Xenopus tropicalis: one gene and its partners. The protein of the gene in region 3 interacts with the protein of the main gene of each other region in a pairwise test. Links are inferred from orthologs where the notes say so. Each region holds a gene or a part of one and is shown on either strand. Other genes may lie near its edges. The genes, in order: csnk2b, dao and prkab2.

What was found.
Region 1: the proteins of prkab2 (region 3) and csnk2b interact in a two-hybrid assay, tested with the Homo sapiens proteins (2 studies listed by BioGRID and IntAct). The link is inferred for Xenopus tropicalis from reciprocal best matches to the Homo sapiens genes PRKAB2 and CSNK2B.
Region 2: the proteins of prkab2 (region 3) and dao interact in binary tests that used the Homo sapiens proteins (3 or more experiments, as listed by UniProt). The link is inferred for Xenopus tropicalis from reciprocal best matches to the Homo sapiens genes PRKAB2 and DAO.

The regions. Positions count from the first base shown.
Region 1 is NC_030684.2:74,724,191-74,730,513, forward strand, and holds the start of csnk2b (casein kinase II subunit beta), read left to right. Parts: upstream 1-1,787; 5' UTR 1,788-1,888; intron 1,889-2,963; 5' UTR 2,964-2,971; coding exon 2,972-3,043; intron 3,044-4,345; coding exon 4,346-4,448; intron 4,449-4,921; coding exon 4,922-5,037; intron 5,038-6,323. UniProt on the Homo sapiens protein: Regulatory subunit of casein kinase II/CK2.
Region 2 is NC_030677.2:146,533,411-146,538,783, forward strand, and holds part of dao (D-amino-acid oxidase), read left to right. Parts: intron 1-782; coding exon 783-865; intron 866-2,047; coding exon 2,048-2,165; intron 2,166-3,023; coding exon 3,024-3,122; intron 3,123-4,611; coding exon 4,612-4,743; 3' UTR 4,744-5,373. UniProt on the Homo sapiens protein: Catalyzes the oxidative deamination of D-amino acids with broad substrate specificity. Required to catabolize D-amino acids synthesized endogenously, of gastrointestinal bacterial origin or obtained from the diet, and to use these as nutrients.
Region 3 is NC_030680.2:118,095,237-118,101,498, forward strand, and holds part of prkab2 (5'-AMP-activated protein kinase subunit beta-2), read left to right. Parts: intron 1-829; 5' UTR 830-844; coding exon 845-1,006; intron 1,007-1,293; coding exon 1,294-1,451; intron 1,452-2,362; coding exon 2,363-2,456; intron 2,457-3,707; coding exon 3,708-3,828; intron 3,829-4,635; coding exon 4,636-4,769; intron 4,770-5,567; coding exon 5,568-5,636; intron 5,637-6,262. UniProt on the Homo sapiens protein: Non-catalytic subunit of AMP-activated protein kinase (AMPK), an energy sensor protein kinase that plays a key role in regulating cellular energy metabolism.

The DNA of each region.
Region 1 (6,323 bases), on a different chromosome or scaffold from region 3:
AGAGTCCCATAGGAATACAACAAGAGAGTTGTAACTTTCGCCCATTGATAAATACGCTTCTAAAAATCCCATAGCAATGAATAGAAAGTAGGTGAGTTTTTATATATTAATGTATTAAACTCACATTTTCATAAATCTGCCCCTTCTAATCTAAAATAACAGGCATGGCCCGTATGACCAATCACATCACACAACTTCTTAGGGCCAGATTCATTAAAGTATGAATCTGAATCACAAAATTTCATAGTTACGATCCGAAAGTTCCAAAATTTTCGTATTGAAACGATCGTTTGCGAATGGCTAAATTTTCAGATTCGAACGATTGTAAATGGTGGGAAAACCTTTCTGACTTTAAACCTTTAGTGCATGATTTTGGAAGACTCTCATAGGACTCAATGGCACTCAGCAGCTCCAACCTGGCCCAAGAAAAGTCACGATAACGAAGCTTGAATGAATCCAAAACTTTTGTACTTGTTGCGACAAATACGATTTTGTCGCACAAATTGTTGTGCAAATTGTCGCAAAGTACAAAAAAGTTGTAAACTTTAGAAAAAATATGTATTTTTCGTATTTGGACCTGTCATAATAAATGTGCCCCATAGTATCAAAAAACTATGCAGCAGTGTATAGGGGCTACTGTGTATGGGGGACACTGTGTGGGGGGGGATACTGTGTATGGGGGGGCTACTCTGTATGGGGGGGGCACCTGTGTATGGGGGGGCTACTGTGTATGGGGGACACTGTGTGGGGGACACTGTGGGAGGGTCTACTCTGTATGGGGGGCATCTGTGTATGGGGGGGCTACTGTGTATGGGGGGCTACTGTGTATGGGGGCACTGTGTATGGGGGGGGCAAAACTGGTACATAGTTATAACTCACTTATAACTGACTGCCTTCTCTCTATATTTGTATTTTATATGTAGGAGTTGCTATATTGTTTTTCTTTAGGTAGTACAGTATGAGGGTATAGCACATTTGCGTCTGATCCCGCCATTTCATATATATATAAAAGGAGTATTTTTTTTAAAAATGGGGAGTGGCAATTGGGGCGTGGCCACACAAAGTGGGCGTGGTCAAAAAATCTTTTTGTCCCTCTTTTCATTTTTTTTTAATGTTGGGAGGTATGGACAGGGCGTCTCTTATGACATATAAGGGGTTTCTGCCCAGTCAATATCTGTATGACACAGGGTCAGGGAATGATTTGGCACCAGGGTTGCCATCTGCCTGCTATTTTACCAGCCTGGCCGGTTCCCTGATGCTGATGTTAATAGGAAAAAAGGTTAAAAAAAAACAGGGAAGCTTGTATTTTTCTCCAAAAAGGTGGCAACCCTATTTGTCAGGTTTAAAAATCGCATCCAGCCAAAGTTGCCTGGAGTGTTGATTCAGTCATTTCCTGATGGTAACTGTACAAGCACATAATGATCATCACAAACCAATAAGCTATGATTCAATCATCCAGACGTGGCTCACTGTGCCCTATGAGTTTGCTTAAACATCCAGCAATGCCATGTACACTAGCTTTAAGCAGGTACTACTGCAAACTTCACTGCCACTTTGTGAAAATCCAGGATGGTTCTTTTAATGACTACACTACTCCATAACGTAACTAAAAAAGCCTCGCATGCGCCTACATCTACAAAAATATACAAAATTACATTAGTCACGTATTAGTTATCCACGTCTCCTCTCACAAACGAATCGCATCCGGTGTAGAGTTTTATCTATATGACTACATTTCCCGCGATTCAATCAGAAAGAATTACTTCCGGTCTTTTTGCTTCTGGTTTCTAATGCGCTTGCGCACTAAGGGGACCGGGCCTAGTGCGCTGCGGTGAAATTTTGCCGGTTCAAAGCCTCCAAATATACGGCAAGCAGCGGTCCCTTGGAGGTGAGTGTTTGGGGTAAAGCCCGCCTTGTGTATTCCGGTTCTTTTCTCCTAATCTCCCATTGTATCTTGGCTGTGTCCTATGTTTTAACGCGTTTGTTTGGACCGGAATTGTCGAGCTATAGACCCGGGCCTTACATCACCCCGCCTGGCTTCCCCCTAACCCTTTCGGGCCTATCTATACGTGAGGCAGAGCGGAACACAACTTCCGTTGTTTCGTTCCAGATAGACTATGAGACTGCTGTGTATTTTCTTGTACTTTGCTATAAGCAACATTGCGGATTTCCCCGCATCATTTGATGTTGTTGGGGGCGCCTTATTCCTCTTGTCGCAGTAGTTGTTGAAGCCGCAGTGTGCGCCCATTCTGAAGGCTTATGGCTTCGGGTTCCTGGGCGAGGGCGCAGGCGGCTGCTCCGGGGAGCCCATATTGCTGCAGTCTATTCCCAGCTTAGTACAGGGGATCCGGCGCCAGACGTGCCCAGCACAGCCAAAATGTGGCAGTAATGGTGGTAAAAAGGGAGATCTGAGATGTTTTCCTCTGCTGATCTTTCCTAGAAATGCTAGTGTTCGTGTTTTGGGGTGGGGGTATTCGTGCTTTGTTGGGGGAATGTTATAACCTGGCCATCTCAGTAACTTAGTCTCCTGCTGCACTGTGGGCTTATTTTGATTGCTGACTCTTTATTTAAAAAATTCTGTGCTTTGTTTGTTCCCTATTCCCTCCAGTAGACCTTACAGTGCCCACATCTTGTCTCCCTAATTATATGGAACCATAGCTATTGTCCCTTGTCTGTCTGTACCCCACTTGTACCTTTCATATTACATCTTATTTCTGTCATCTGATTTTACAGCACCCCATTTGTTCCCTTTTTTATATTTTATTTTGCCTCGACCTTAGCGTAATATCCATAGCTTAATTCACGCGCTCCAGTTTTTTTTTTTGCTGCCTCTCATTAACATTGCTGTGTTAGTTTTGTTTAATTTTCTTTAATTCGTTTATACATATTTTGACCCAATACTATGTTTTTTATTGAGTTACTCTCATTTTCCTTGTATAAAAGCTTTTCTTTTTGTTCCTCAGGCTAGAAAATGAGCAGCTCAGAGGAGGTGTCCTGGATTAGCTGGTTTTGTGGTTTAAGAGGCAATGAATTTTTCTGTGAGGTGAGTCTTACTTAAAGATCTTTTCTTTGAGAGAAATAATAACTGTTAATCACAAAATCACTGACAGAAACCTACCAGGTTAGTGAAATAAATAGCTGTAAAAAACACTCCACTTCATCATATAGAAAAAAAATACTACCTCCTACTGCTGTTTTATTCTTGCTGATGTTCTTTCAGCCTCTCTTATCTCACACCCCTCCTGAAAAGAAAATTACTCCTCTTTCTGAAAAATGTATCTCGGCACTGCTTTGTATAGTCAAAAATCATAATGCTTGTGTGTGTTGTTTAGACCAAATTAAATACATTTGCAATATAAACCCATTAAAAATTAACTATCATTTTTTAAATAGAAGCCTTTGTATTTTGCATCTTTTGCTATTCCCCTAAAATGAGCTACAGTTAGCTTTGCCGTCTGATTTATATAGAACAACATTTGTTATAGTGCTTTCCTATCTTAGGGCTATATATAAACACTCGGTTAAGATTTTGACTTTATTTCCCCTTTTAATAGTGCTTTTTATTTAATCAGCTGTAAGGATTTATTCCTACCCGCTTGCCTTTCAGCTCAGTCAAGATTTGACTGTTCCACCTTTTCATTTCCAGCAGAATTACCTCTCCATTTGCAGTTACTGCAGGTAGAACACTTACATTGTATAATTGTACAAAAATAATTAAGAAGCCATTTTTGTGCAATTACATTGTGTTTTATCTTTGGCATTTAATATTGTCTGCAATGGAAAGGAATTTTTCACCATTTTGTCGCCACAACAAAATGCAGGTGACAAAATGCCAGTCGTTGCATTAAAGGACATGTAAACCCTTTATTTTCCTACCATAAAGGTTGGACACATCTTCCTCACACCAACTGAACCATATGTACTGCATATATCGCCTTTGTTCACATATTTTTCTAAAACAAATAGGAGCTTTTACCCATCAGTTTCCCTCTGACACATAAGCATATTTCTCTAGCAGTGTGCACAGCTAGAGCAGTGTTTTTATGAAAACCAGTGATGACCTCTCTTCATTGGCTGCTAGACTGGAGGGTGTGTTTGGTAATTTGAATTAAGAGCTAAGCATGCCCAGTAGCCAACAGCCAAAGTCATTTCCGAAGGAAGAGTAGGTTAGAGGAGGAGAAGGAATCCCAAGTTATCAAGGGGCTGCTGCAGCCTTACAATAGCCTTACAATACCTTTGAACAACCAGAATCACAGGTATTTACATGTCCTTTGAGGGGCAGCCTATTAAATATTACATCTGGTTTTCTAAAGATGTTGCTTTGCTGACATACTTTCTTTTTTAGGTGGATGAAGACTATATCCAGGATAAGTTTAACTTGACAGGACTCAATGAGCAGGTCCCTCACTATAGACAGGCACTGGACATGATACTGGACCTTGAACCTGGTGAGAATATCTCCCATTGTGACTTCAGCTAACTTAATATGCATGCCATCATAGGCATAGTAAACATTATCTTTTTATTAGAACTGGTTATATCCAGCTGTACTTTACAGTTGCCTTCACCAGTCAGAAATGGCGAGCCTTTGTCAAGTCTCTATTGCAGGGACAGAGCTGTGTTTTCTGTATAGTACATTCTTTTTATCTTTATCATTTGTTTACGTGAATTTTGTGCAGTTTTTCTTTTTAGAGTATCAGCTATATTATACTATACCAACAATTTTTAGATTTGCATCTTGTAAAATCTTCCCAACCACCGTGTTTATCTCCTGCTCTTTTTATAAGTGTCCATATTGAAGAATTGTTTCTAAGTTTACATTGAATATTGACATGCCCAGCTGTCCTTGCTTATTTATATGTGCAAACAATGGTCCCTTTTACACCAAATCTGTTTTTATTTCTCTGCTTTTCTCATGCAGATGAGGAATTGGAAGATAATCCCAATCAAAGTGACCTCATTGAACAAGCCGCAGAGATGTTATATGGACTGATCCATGCCCGTTACATACTGACTAACCGTGGCATTGCCCAGATGGTGAGAGTGTTGTTGATAATGATATTATTTTAGGCAGCTGTATTTTTAGTTTTTAATGTTAATGATAAAAATACTGCTGACTGGCTATTTATAGTGTTTCCAAATTCACTTTGGTATATGAAATGTTTAGAAGCATGCAGGCTCAAGGGGCACAGTTTTTACATGCTTATTTACCAGCAAGTTAATATCCACAGCAGTGCTTTCTGTAGTTACATTTATAATTAGCCCTATTTCCACAACGATTAGATGCAGAAATAATACTGAATTAGCAATTTTATATGTTTGTAATTAAGTATTCTGTTACTGATTTTTCCATGCATTAGCAATTTTATATGTTTGTAATTAAGTATTCTGTTACTGATTTTTCCATGCTTGTGGATTTAGAGTATAGGGAGAAGGAATTTCTCTAAGGGATGATGTGGGGGGGGGGCACAACCTGCAGTCTGTAGCACCATGGGGGGGTCATTATTTCAGATACCCATTCAAACCAATGAGTAGAGCTGCAGCTTTTTTGACTTTGATAGGGGTCACATGAGTTAATCAATTATTTGCTGGCTTACTCTGTATATTTTGGGTCACTCCCACTTGTTAGTAGCTTGTTCTCCCTAGAGTGATTGGGATTAGGGTATATGCTATTATGAACTGGTGCTGTCCTTCATGGTGTAATGTTAGAATGTTAGCTTCATTTCTTTGAGTATTTTATGCATTGACGACAAGGCACTCCATAAAGAGCAAATACCCTATCCGATAGAAACTGGGAAACTTTTGGTTGTGTATTTTTTTTTTTATAATCTTTTTTTTTATTGCTTTTAATGCAAACTAACAAAATAAAGCAGCTCTTCCTCCTTCCACCTTCGCTTTTGGAAGGACTAAGGACAGGCGTATGCGCAGTAGAGTGAAAAGCCGACTTCTCTGTTAAAGTTCGGTTTTTCACTCTACTGCGCGCGACGGAAGGAGGAAGTGCTGCAGGTAACCCGGGCTGGTGCTGTTCTCTCCTAACAGGGGCACCAGCCTGGGGTAGAAGGTAAGCGATTTAAGTCACTTGGGGTGCCTAACATTTTGGCACCCCCAAGTGACTTTGCCTTTCCTTCTCCTTTAAGATGCCCCAGTAGCTCCCCATCTTCTTTTCTGCTGATTCCCTGCACATGCTCTGTGCTGCTGTCAGTTACTGAGCATAGGGACCAACTCACAATATATTGTATATACAGAATAAAAATGTCACAATATATTGCAGATTAGTAATTTATTCAGATTCATAATACTTGGTAGCTCTGAATCCAGTGCAG
Region 2 (5,373 bases), on a different chromosome or scaffold from region 3:
ATATATATAAAATTGTAACTGGTCAGCCATCTATGTAAACTGTTTTATAACAATACAGTATGCCTTTGTTAGTTCCAGCTGGGATAGCCACATAAGTGTTTGTTTGCTTCTGGTTAAATGTTTTTTAAATAGAATTTACCTATGTGTTATGTATACTGCAGCACATTCTTAATTAAACAGCCCCCCTAAGTTACCAATTATGTAAGTTTTTAGTGACTTTATAGGCTTGCCAGTAAATTGATTTCCCTACAAACCTGGCATTACCTATACACCTAGTTATAGTATACAGGCTCAGTCTAGAAAAACAGGGTGTATTTGGTTAATGAATGTGCCACACTCCCACTTCAGACACCCTGCAGCAACCTCATAATCAGCAGGAAACAACACTCTGTATCAATATCCATATATTCATGCAGAGTGTTGTTTTCTGCTGATTATGGGGTTGCTGCAGGGTATCTGCAGAAGTATTACCGGTGGGAGGGGGCCAAAACCATGGCATCCATAGTTTATGAATGCAGTGGCTTTATATTATGCTTCATATATTCCAAATGACCTTGAACCCATCCATGATAGTGGAAAGTATCATTTCAAATGATAGCATGAAACAAGAAATGAGCATTCCATTCAGCCTATATTACTCCATTACTACCTTGTGCTGCAACCTAGTAGAAAATGCAGATATCCTATTTTTACATTTTCTGTTTTTCTTTGTGTATTCTCTATAAAGATGTATTTGCATGTATTATTTTTTATATTTCCCTATACTGTTTATCATTTTCTAGGTGCATGCACCTTGGATGAAACACTTTATTTTAACCCATGATCTGAAGACTGGAGTTTATACCACACCATATATCATACCAGGGTATGTTTTTTTTTCAAAAATATGAACATTTAATGCGAACATTTTTTTATTTTCTTTTTAATAACAATACAGATAATTTTGTGCTGTCCCAGCCTGCACCAGATAGTATAACAAAAACTGCGGAACACAGAAGGAAAGTATTTGGAAGCAGAACTTTTACAAGTTTTTCCATTATTTAGCATTGCTTATAGATACATGTTTTTCTGAATAGAATTCATCCCTGCATTTACCTGTGATACTGAGTGGCAGGAAGAGATACAGTGGTAGGACAGGAGTTGCTGACAGCTCCAGAAACAGTTAGGGAAGTGGAGTATGCAGTGTCGGACTGGCCCACCAGGATACCAGGTAAACTCCCGGTGGGCCCAGATGTCAGTGGGCCCTTTTGCTTCTATCTATTTAGCCTATTTCATGGTCATTCCCTATTTCTGTATGGAAACAAGGAGGCTTGATAGATGGAAGAATAGAGTATAGTATTTAGAGAAAAGAGACTAGGAGAATAAAGAGTTTGAGGGAGGAGAGGAGGAGTTAAAGTGTTGAGAGTGGGCCCATGGTCCAGGGTTTTCTGGTGGGCCCCTGCCATCTCAGTCTGACACTGGGAGTAGGAATTCTTGTGCACTAGGGATATAGACAACATATATACATATCTATATGCACCACATAAGGTGAATTGTTTCTTATACCCTTTCAGGGAGTTCCAAAACTCTCTATTTAATTGTTGGCTATGGGTAAATGCACTTATGCAATTTAGCTGGCCATACACATACTTATAAATTCCAATGTTGGGTGGACAGACATGACTAAAGTTATTTAAATGTCCTAAACATTTTTTACACAATTTATTTAGTTATGATTTATTTGCTGCCAAACCCCTTTCCCTGGCTGGAAACTTACTTTAAATTCTAGATGCATAGACAGACAGCAGATTACAAACCTGATGCATTATCTGTTGTTAGTGCAGGCCCAGTGTTGACTGGGCCGTATTTTGGTTGTAGCTTGACAGTTTAATATTTGGCCTGCAGCGACTAGATCTATATAAGCAGCATTTTTACTGTCTTGTATAATTACTTTTTAAAATGTTTTTATATTAATACAATGCAGAGAATAGAAAAGACACATATATTTATATTTATATTTTGTATATCCCCTTTAAGGAATTTTTTTTGCAAACTTTTATGTTTGCAGGTCAGATTCTGTCACGTTGGGAGGAATTTATCAGCTGGGAAATTGGAGCGAGGAAAACAATTCTGAGGATTACAAGTGGATTTGGGATAAATGTACTGAGTTGGTGCCCAGTCTTAAGGTATGGGTCATTTCTCAATGTAGAGTCAGTTTTCCCTGGATGACTGTGGTGGTGGCATAAAGACACTTCTGGGAAAACCTTCTTGCACCTTTCACCTAAGCTTTATTGCATTTCTCCTCATTCACCCTAGTGATAACCCTGTAATCACTGTGTTCTGTAAGGTGCACAAGGCAAATAGGATAAAATGTTGCAGAACTGAAACATTATGATTTTACCACCGTAGCCATGCTTTTTCTGGAATTCCACAATGGAGCTTGTGTGATGTTAGTAAGCCACCTTTTTTCCCATAATACAAGCCTTTGGGTCAAGGGCGGGCTGTGATGTCATTTGGGGGTGGGGAAGGGTGAATATGACTGGTAAATGGGTAGACCGGGCTGGGAAAATGGGCTTTGATGTGGGCCTGTAATTATAAAGGCTCATCAACAGTGGAGAAGGTGAGGAAAGGGGGCATTTATTACATGCTAGGCTGGTTAAATACCATCCAGGTAGCTGATATGGATGCATGCTTAAGTGCATTAGTGCATTTTTTTTATTTTGTGTCCTGAGGCAAGACTCTTGGGGGCAGTAAAGAGAAACTCCTTGCTGAAGGAAACCAGAAAGCAGGAATGTAATAATACAGGAAGCATGCCCTGCTGAACAGTGGCAAGTAAGCAGTTTCAAGATATGTCCATAAAAATGTCTTGTTTCAAAAGGGCCATGACATTATATTGTTGTAAGGCCCAGTAACTTCTAATAATGTCTACCTGGAAGAAGTGTTAGAAGTAGTAGTGACCCATTGGTGTAAGTTGGATCATACAATGAATGACACACAGATTCCAAGACTTACTTTAATCATAAATAACTTGTATTGTTGGACAGAATGCAAAGATTGTGCATACATGGACTGGGCTGAGGCCAGCACGCAGCAAAGTGAGACTGGAGAGGGAAGCCTTTGTTTCTGGATCTAACAAGAGCCAGGTGAGTACTTACCCCATTGTCCTGCAATTGGCACTATAAGGGCTATAAAACACAGAGATACTTATCACGAGTACTAAATGACAGAAAATACCCTGCCATAGACAACACTGAGAACTGTCTCTGCTAAAACACACAGGGCCGGGGCAGGAGACCGGTGGGATGGCATATCGGGGAGATTAGTCGGCCGCAACAAGGGAGAACTAGCTGGCTACAAGTAGCTCTGTGTTTCATTGCCCTTTAGCCTTTTCCTAATCAGTCTGTTGAAGTATATTGCTATTGTTTGTTTCATTTATTTTAACCATTGGTGTGCAATTGTTCACCTTTTCAGTACCGCATATAATTCCATCAGAGTTATTGTAAATAGTGCTTTCATCACTGCTGCCTTCTGATGGTGAACAGCAGTAGTCAAAACTGTTTGTCTGTCACTGCCCCTGAATAAAAAGCTGTATAATGAATTTACATTGAGTGGTAAAAGGAGGAAATCAGCATCAAAACAGTGCTCTGTGACAAGCATGCTCTGTAAGGTTACGATTCTACATGTATTGTTACTATTTACTATTTATCTTTCTGTTCAGGCCCTTTACCATTCATCTTTCAGTCTTTCATTCACGCCACTGCCTGGTTGCTAGAATAAATTTTACTCTAGCAGCCTCCTGAAATTCCAAGCTGCAGGGTTTCTGAATAATTAATTTAAAAAGCATAAAAAATGAAGATCAACAAAAAGAGTAAAAGCTGAAAAAGACTAGTACACAACTACCGAATGTATAAGTTCCTTTTTTATTGTATAAAAATATGATGTTTAACTAAAATAATACAAGCAACAAATGTGCAGATATGAATAGAAAGTACATGGAAATGAGAAGAAAACCAATGTACAAAATGTATCTTTCTATGATGTTTTTGTCTAAATAAAGCTTGAATAGAAAAAAAAAAAATGAAGATCAATAACAGTTTGATAACTGATTATTACTGTCAACATCATACTAACGTTAATTTAAAATTCTACCCCCCCCCGGAAATACTGATCTGCCTGCATTCAGCAGCACTGTATTCATGACGGGATGCACTTAGGCATACCCAGTCCTGTAACTTTAGATGCGCAAGTTAAGAAGTGACGGTGGATGTAAGCTGCAAAGGAGGCCTTTACTTAAGGACAGGGCTGGAGTGAGGTGCAGGTTGCAGCCTCCCACTGACAGAAGTGCTCACTGCATGACTACTAAAGGGAGAGCTCTTTTGGCCCTTAGTGCTATTGTACTTCTTCTCGGGGACATACAAAATGACGCCTAATGTCTCTTTGAATATTCTGTGACCTAAAGGAGGTACCCATAAAAAAACAATATCAAAACAGTGACTTGTTTCGTTGGTATTATTACTATGCTAAACGCTGTGTTTTATAAAATGTACCACATTGTTTACTTGGAAATATAACTAAAAGTATGTTATAAATGTAAGCTAAGCTAATATTTGTATTTTATTCTCTTTACTACAGATAATTCACAACTATGGCCATGGTGGATACGGTCTTACAATTCATTGGGGGTGTGCCATGGAGGCAGCAAAGATCTTTGGGCAGATCCTTGCAGAAAGGAACCTTAAAGAGACTCCTAAGTCTTCCCTTTGATTTTGACTGCCACATACAGAAATCATCCAGGAAGTGAAACTGCCACAAAACAAGTTTTGAATTTAGAATGAAGACTATGATTTCTCTGATTTCTTGTATGCTATCTTGGTACAGTATCCAGTTTGGCTAACAATTTTACCAATCAATACTTCAACATGTATAGTTTCATATTTGCACCAATTCACCCAAAAACAGTTTGATCTTCTGACTACACTTACTGAACAGATCTGACTAGTAGTTTTGCATTAAGATTAGTCCATCTTGAAGAAGACCTTTCCACTAACCTTTGACCTTCTCACTAGCCCACTTCAAATTTGCATCAATATGCAGAAGTTTATTCTTCTAACTATAATGCCCATGTAATAAGACACTAAGGGGCTGATTTACTAACCCACGAATTTGAATCCGAATTGGAAAAATTCCGATTGGAAAACGAACATTTTGCGACTTTTTCGTATTTTTTGAGATTTTTTCGGCGCCTTTACGACTTTTCGGAAATTATCGCGACTTTTTCGTTACCAATACGATTTGCGCGAAAAAACGCGAGTTTTTCGTAGCCATTCCGAAAGTTGCGATTTTTTCTTAGCGTTAAAACTTGCGCGAAAAGTTGCGCTTTTTTCGTAGCGTTAA
Region 3 (6,262 bases):
ATGAATAGGTCTCCATCTTGAGATCAGATGTCACTGTCCTTGATCTCATGAACCAAAGAGCCAGCTACATATAGAAAAAAACTATGTAATGATATAAAGCAAAAAAATAAGGAAAAAATTAATATACAAGGCATGCAAAGCTAGTATGGATTAGGGATACAATACACATATACAATTGCTTATTGGTAGGAGGCAATAAGGGAAGGGCCATTCCTGTGTGAGCTTACAGTCTAAGAATATTTCCCATTTTTTGTAAATGATAAAAGACAAAAAACTGTAGTGAATCTGTAGTGAATAGCCTTATTATTATTTATATTTTTTATTATTATTATTACTACCCGGTCCCTGCCCCAGTTGAGCTTACAGTCTAAGTTCCTATCAATGATATCAGTAGCCAGTTCATATTTTTGGAGTGTGAAAGGAAACTGGGGTACCTGGAGGAAATAACACAAGCATGGAAAGAACATACAGATCCCATGTGATAGAGCCCTTCATTCATTCCAGTAAAGGAGTGAGAATGAGTGTTACAGTTACCCATTGCTTATTTTTCTTTTTTATTTCTTAAACTCCAGGCACTCTGAGGCTGATATATATCATACTGAGGTCATTGTCTCTCCTTGCATTGACTTGCATTGCACATTTCTAGACACAGAAGCTGTGTAAAGATAAACCATGCTTTCTTTGCATAGCTTAAATAAGATATATGATTCAAAATTAAAACAATAGCCTGAGCCATATTAACCCTATTTATTAGTTGTACTTTTGGCTCTCTTACATATTTCCCCTTCATATAAAATACACTTTACACCACAACTTGTTTGCTTTGCAGTGGCCTGAGCCAAATATGGGTAACACAGCAAGTGATCGCTTATCTGGAGATCGGCATGGCAAGTCCCACCGTGCAGATGGAGCAACTGGGGGACACTCTACTAAGGAGCATGAGGAAAACAAAATCATGGTTGGAAGCACAGACGACCCAAATATCTTTAGTACTCAAGAATCTAAGGTATTCCAATGAACTGAAAAGCTATATGAGACTGGAGTGGGAATGTGATCTTTTAATGCCATAGGGGTCATTTACTATGACCCGAATGCTAGTGTTAGAAGGGATGCAAAAATACATTCCATAGTGCTTCTTCTAAAGAGTTTATTATATGTGGACCTCCTGCTGTTGAACTACATTTCTGAGAAATCCCTTGACACAAAAGGTAGATAGCAACAATAGCTGGAGACCCACAAGTTATTGTTTCCCGAGCTATAAATCTATTTCTAATTTACATTTTGGCAATGCAGCACCCTGGTGACTCAACGTGGCCCCAGGAATCAGAGGATCCTGGAAAATCAGCTCAGCAAGGTCGTCCCACTGTAATCCGTTGGACAGAAGGTGGCAAAGAAGTCTTCATATCTGGGTCATTTAACAACTGGACTGCCAAAATTCCACTGATTAAAAGGTAGTACAACTTACATAAAAATAGGCATATATTGGTTTTGTATTTTTTAGTTTACATGATTGTCTTACCTGTAACTCTCTAGCTGGGCAGAAGTCATACTTTTTAAACATATCAGGGAAGGCTTAATATTTTTTTCCCTAACAACAGGTAGCTTTTTTATTTGCACAGTGGCACCTGTTTAAATGAAAGCAGCCCAGGGGCATGTATACCTATAGAAATATTTATTAACTTAAAAGCTATATGAGACTGGAGTGGGAATGTGATCTTTTAATACTATAGTGCGCTCTTTCATCTACAAATATTTGTTTGAATCTTGCTAAGAAAATAAGTGACTTGTAGAGCTATAATCAATAAATACTCATTTTAAGAGACAAATCTTAGTTGTATAAGACTGTAGCTTAGCACTTTTGTGTATATTTGTTTATAATACAGAAGAGCCATGAATATACTATACATTATAAAGTAAATAATGTACCCCTATTGTAAAATATAAGGATATTAAAAGTCACCAAGGAGTTCCATGACTACATAAAAGCACAAGGCCCAAGGACACATGCTTTTATTCAGGTCATGGAACTCCATCACTAAGCACTGATTTTAACTGATGACATCACTAAGCACCATTTCTAAGTATATAATTTACAGGAAATTTGTGGCTCTTCTGTATTATATCCTTATAAATGGTGCTTATTGATGTTGTCAGTTATAATCAGTGCTTAGTAATGTAATGTCTGTCACAGAAGTTGCTGAAACTTGTGTAATTTCTTAAATATAGTAACCCCTGTTGTAAAATATAAGAATATTAATAGTCACTGAGTTCCACGACTTGTATAAAAGCACTTGGTTTTTTATTCACTACATGTTATTCATTCTGTCGGTTTAAACTTCTCATTTTTAAATTTGTCTTGTAGCCACAATGACTTTGTTGCCATTTTGGACCTTCCAGAGGGAGAGCATCAGTACAAGTTTTTTGTGGATGGCCAATGGGTACATGACCCTTCTGAGGTAAATCGGGGGAGAGCTGTAGCTTGTTTAGAAAGGCTATCCATTCACACTAAATCTCAAAATTCCACACATGAGAAGCTTACAGGGGAGAATGACTGTTTATTTGGCTGTGTTATGATGAGTTTGTGTGTTATGATTCCCAGTGTCATTGCACATAACTGTATCTGCTTAAAGGAGAAGGAAAGGCTAAGTCACTTGGGGGTGCCAAAATGTTAGGCACCCCCAAGTGACTTAGATCGCTTACCTTGTACCCTGGGCTGGTGCCCCTGTTAGGAGAAAAAAGCACCAGCCCAGGGTACCTGCAGGAAGCGCTTCCTTCTTCCTTTTTCTTCTGCCAGCGAAATCCGTGGGCCGGCGCATGCGCAGTAGAGTGAAAAGCCGACTTTCTTGTTTCAGTTCGGCTTTTCACTCTACTGCGCATGCGCACGCAAGCGAATAGGAAGTGGAAGCGCTCGCTGCTACCTCGGGCTGGTGCTGTTCTCTCCGTACAGGGGCACCAGCCCGGGGTAAAAGGTAAGCGATCTAAGTCACTTGGGGGTGCCTAACATTTCAGCACCCCCAAGTGACTTAGCCTTTCCTTCTCCTTTAAAGCGATACTGACACGAAAAAACTACTTTTTAAAATATGAATCTACATAAAAAGTTACCTATAGGTCATGTTGATCATTTTTCACTGATAGGGCTGCTTTTGTGAGTAATTGTTACTTGAAGTTCCTAAACCCGACTGTTTTGCTAACCTGACTGTCCCTTCTCAGCCTGTCAGTTATAGCTTCTAATGCTAACAGACTCCTGCTGCACAAATATTGCCGCCCCCTCATAGAGAAACATGGGGGATTAGATAGGTAATGTAAAAGCCTCAGGAAATATGTTTATGGCAAAATTATAAAGCTCATGCAAAGACAATGTTATGAAAGATGTAAAAAAGTTTTAATTTCTGGTGTCAGTATCACTTTAATACAGAACTGATCACAACTAGTATATATTTGCACATTTTAACCTTGGCCTTGTTGTGGTAAAATTAAATCATGCTTGTGCCCTCTTGTTGGATACTTTCTGTATGACAGAAAGTAGACAACAAGATATGTTTCAAATTTATGCATTATACACATCCATTTACACAACTTGAACAGAGCTAGTGCTTGTAAGTGCTAAATCATACTCTTAGGCTTTCCTAATATATGGAGAATGTTCTGACTGTTAAAGTGATAGGATTATACCAGTGGCTTCACTGCAAGTCTCATTCTCTCTTCAGCCTGTGGTTACCAGCCAGCTTGGTACAATCAACAACTTGATCCATGTTAAGAAGTCGGATTTTGAAGTATTTGATGCTTTAAAATTAGATTCAATGGAGAGTTCTGACACATCAGCTAGAGGTAGGAACTGGCATTCATTTGTTAGTTTGTAATACAACCTGTTATTCTACATTGGTAATCTGGTGCTTTCAATTGCATTGTTGCTAGTTACCCAACTGAAGCAATCAGCATGGCAGCCTATATACAATGAAGGAATGTTCTGCAAGCAATAAACTATGTGGTCACTTACTATCTAGTAAATACAGCCATGAACACTCACAGAAACGCTGCACTGAGTTCTCTGTCAAAAGATTTCTTGTGTCTGTTTTCCTCTGCTAGAGACATGCAGCTCTCTCCTCTCTCCCCTGTCCTGCTCCCCCCTCCCTCAAGAATGCTAAGAACTCCCTCCCCCACCATAGGAATGTGGATCTGAGCCAATCAGCAGGAAGCTTCCTCATAGTCTTACAAACTGAGCATGTACACCGGTCTGGGTCTGGGTGCAGGAGTGAGGCATTATGGGAACTTTTTTTTACACAGCTCAGCGTTTTTTCTTCCTGTTTGGCTTCTGATCGGGAGAAATATGGGGAGACTTAATGGCACTATTGAGAGAGCTGAAGGTATGCCTGCAGCTTGAGATTAACTCTTTATTAGCCTTTCCTTCTATGATTATCAAGGGGTGTAATATTTTAGGGAGAAATTATTTAATTTCACTCAGTCCATTTAGGAAGAAATTATTCCATTTCACACAGAATTCTAAATATTTTTGTATTAAGATTTAGTGCCTGTATTTGCTGTCAGTGGATCTGAAGATAAATGTATTACATATAATGATCTGATGCAGACTTGTTGCCCTTTTCACCTATTATTTTTCATTTTGTTTCTTGATAGACTTATCAAGTTCCCCTCCTGGACTTTATGGCCAAGAACTATATGCTTACAAGCCAGAGGAACGCTATAAATCACCTCCTATCCTTCCTCCCCATCTTCTCCAAGTTATACTTAACAAAGACACCAACATCTCTGTGAGTTTAAAGCATTATATATTTGAAGAAGCTCTTTATGCTTTTGTTAATGTTCTTTTACCTGGAGAAATTAAGATCCAAATATGTATTTTTTCTATTGCCCTTAATCCAGGAGCAGGCAAGCCAAGTTTTAGCAGGTATTTTTTAATAAAGCATTCAAAATAATAAATGGTGTGCAGGATAGGGCAATTATTGGGGCAGGGTAGAATAGATTTTTTACTTAAAAATGTTTAGTGTTACTTTTCCTTTAATGGGGCTACATATAAAAGTCTCTAGAAATGCTTTATAGTGTTCATAATGGCCAGGCAGCATGCAGCTTCGCAACATTTTCCAGACCAACCACTGATCCGCTCAGCTCTGAGGAACTTACGGAAGCAGATCCGATTCTCTCAGCCTGGCAGAAAAGCGCAGGGCTGAGAGAAGCTTCATCTGACCTCGCCCTTAAGCTGATAAATTTGAAAAAGTAGATTTGAAAGAATCAATACACCTATATTGCCCCCACAGTATAAAGAGAGAAATGTGTAGAACAGTTTTTGTGGGCACATCTTAATACAAAATCCATGTTTAATGCTGGCATTTCCCATAGGTCAGTATGTGGTTACACAACACTTCAACCCTTCTTTTATCTCTTTACTTAAAATTCCTAACATTCTTCTTAGTATTAGCAGAGGACAATCATTTGCTCCTACTGGTAACACATTTTGTGTTTTAAGTGTACAGACATGACTTGCAACACATGAAAAGTTTGAATATGAAGTTATGTTAAAACCTTCTCTAACACATGTATGTTTATTTTAGTGTGATCCTGCCCTCCTTCCAGAACCCAATCACGTCATGCTAAACCATCTGTATGCTTTGTCAATAAAGGTAAAGTTTTCTGTTAATAAGGGGTTAAAGGAAATATTTCAGACCCTAGTAATGCAGAAAAGTATAAAGGACTACCATACAGCTTAGCTGCCAGCATCATGAATATCGTTAACAATCTAATATTGTGAGATTAGACCTTACCACAGTAAAATTCACCCACTCTCTGTTCATTCCATTGGGATTTTTAGAGACGTATTTATCAATAGGTGAAAGTTAGAATGTACCATTTGATAAATACTCCTCTAAAAATACCACATGAAGAAACAGAGTGGAGTATTTTACAGTGGTGAGCTCTAATTTTACACTTTCATAAATATGCCCCTTCATGTGATTTACCTGCTCCTTTATTAAAAAAAACTGGGACAGTAACTCACAAGAAATAGGATTTCATGCATGCTGGTTGCATAAACGAAAGAGTGTGGGTCAAAGTAGTGCTAAAATATGAATAAAGCCTGCTCTGGAAAACCTGTGTGGTTAAGCCAAATCCCGGCACAGTCTCTTCCAGGACACAGTCCCACACTCCACTCCTGCTGGACACTATAATGGAAGCAGTCCCCGCGGTTGCAGGGGGCCCAGATTGCAGCGGTCGCAGGGGGTCTGCTTCCCTCCCCAGCCGCTCTTTTACC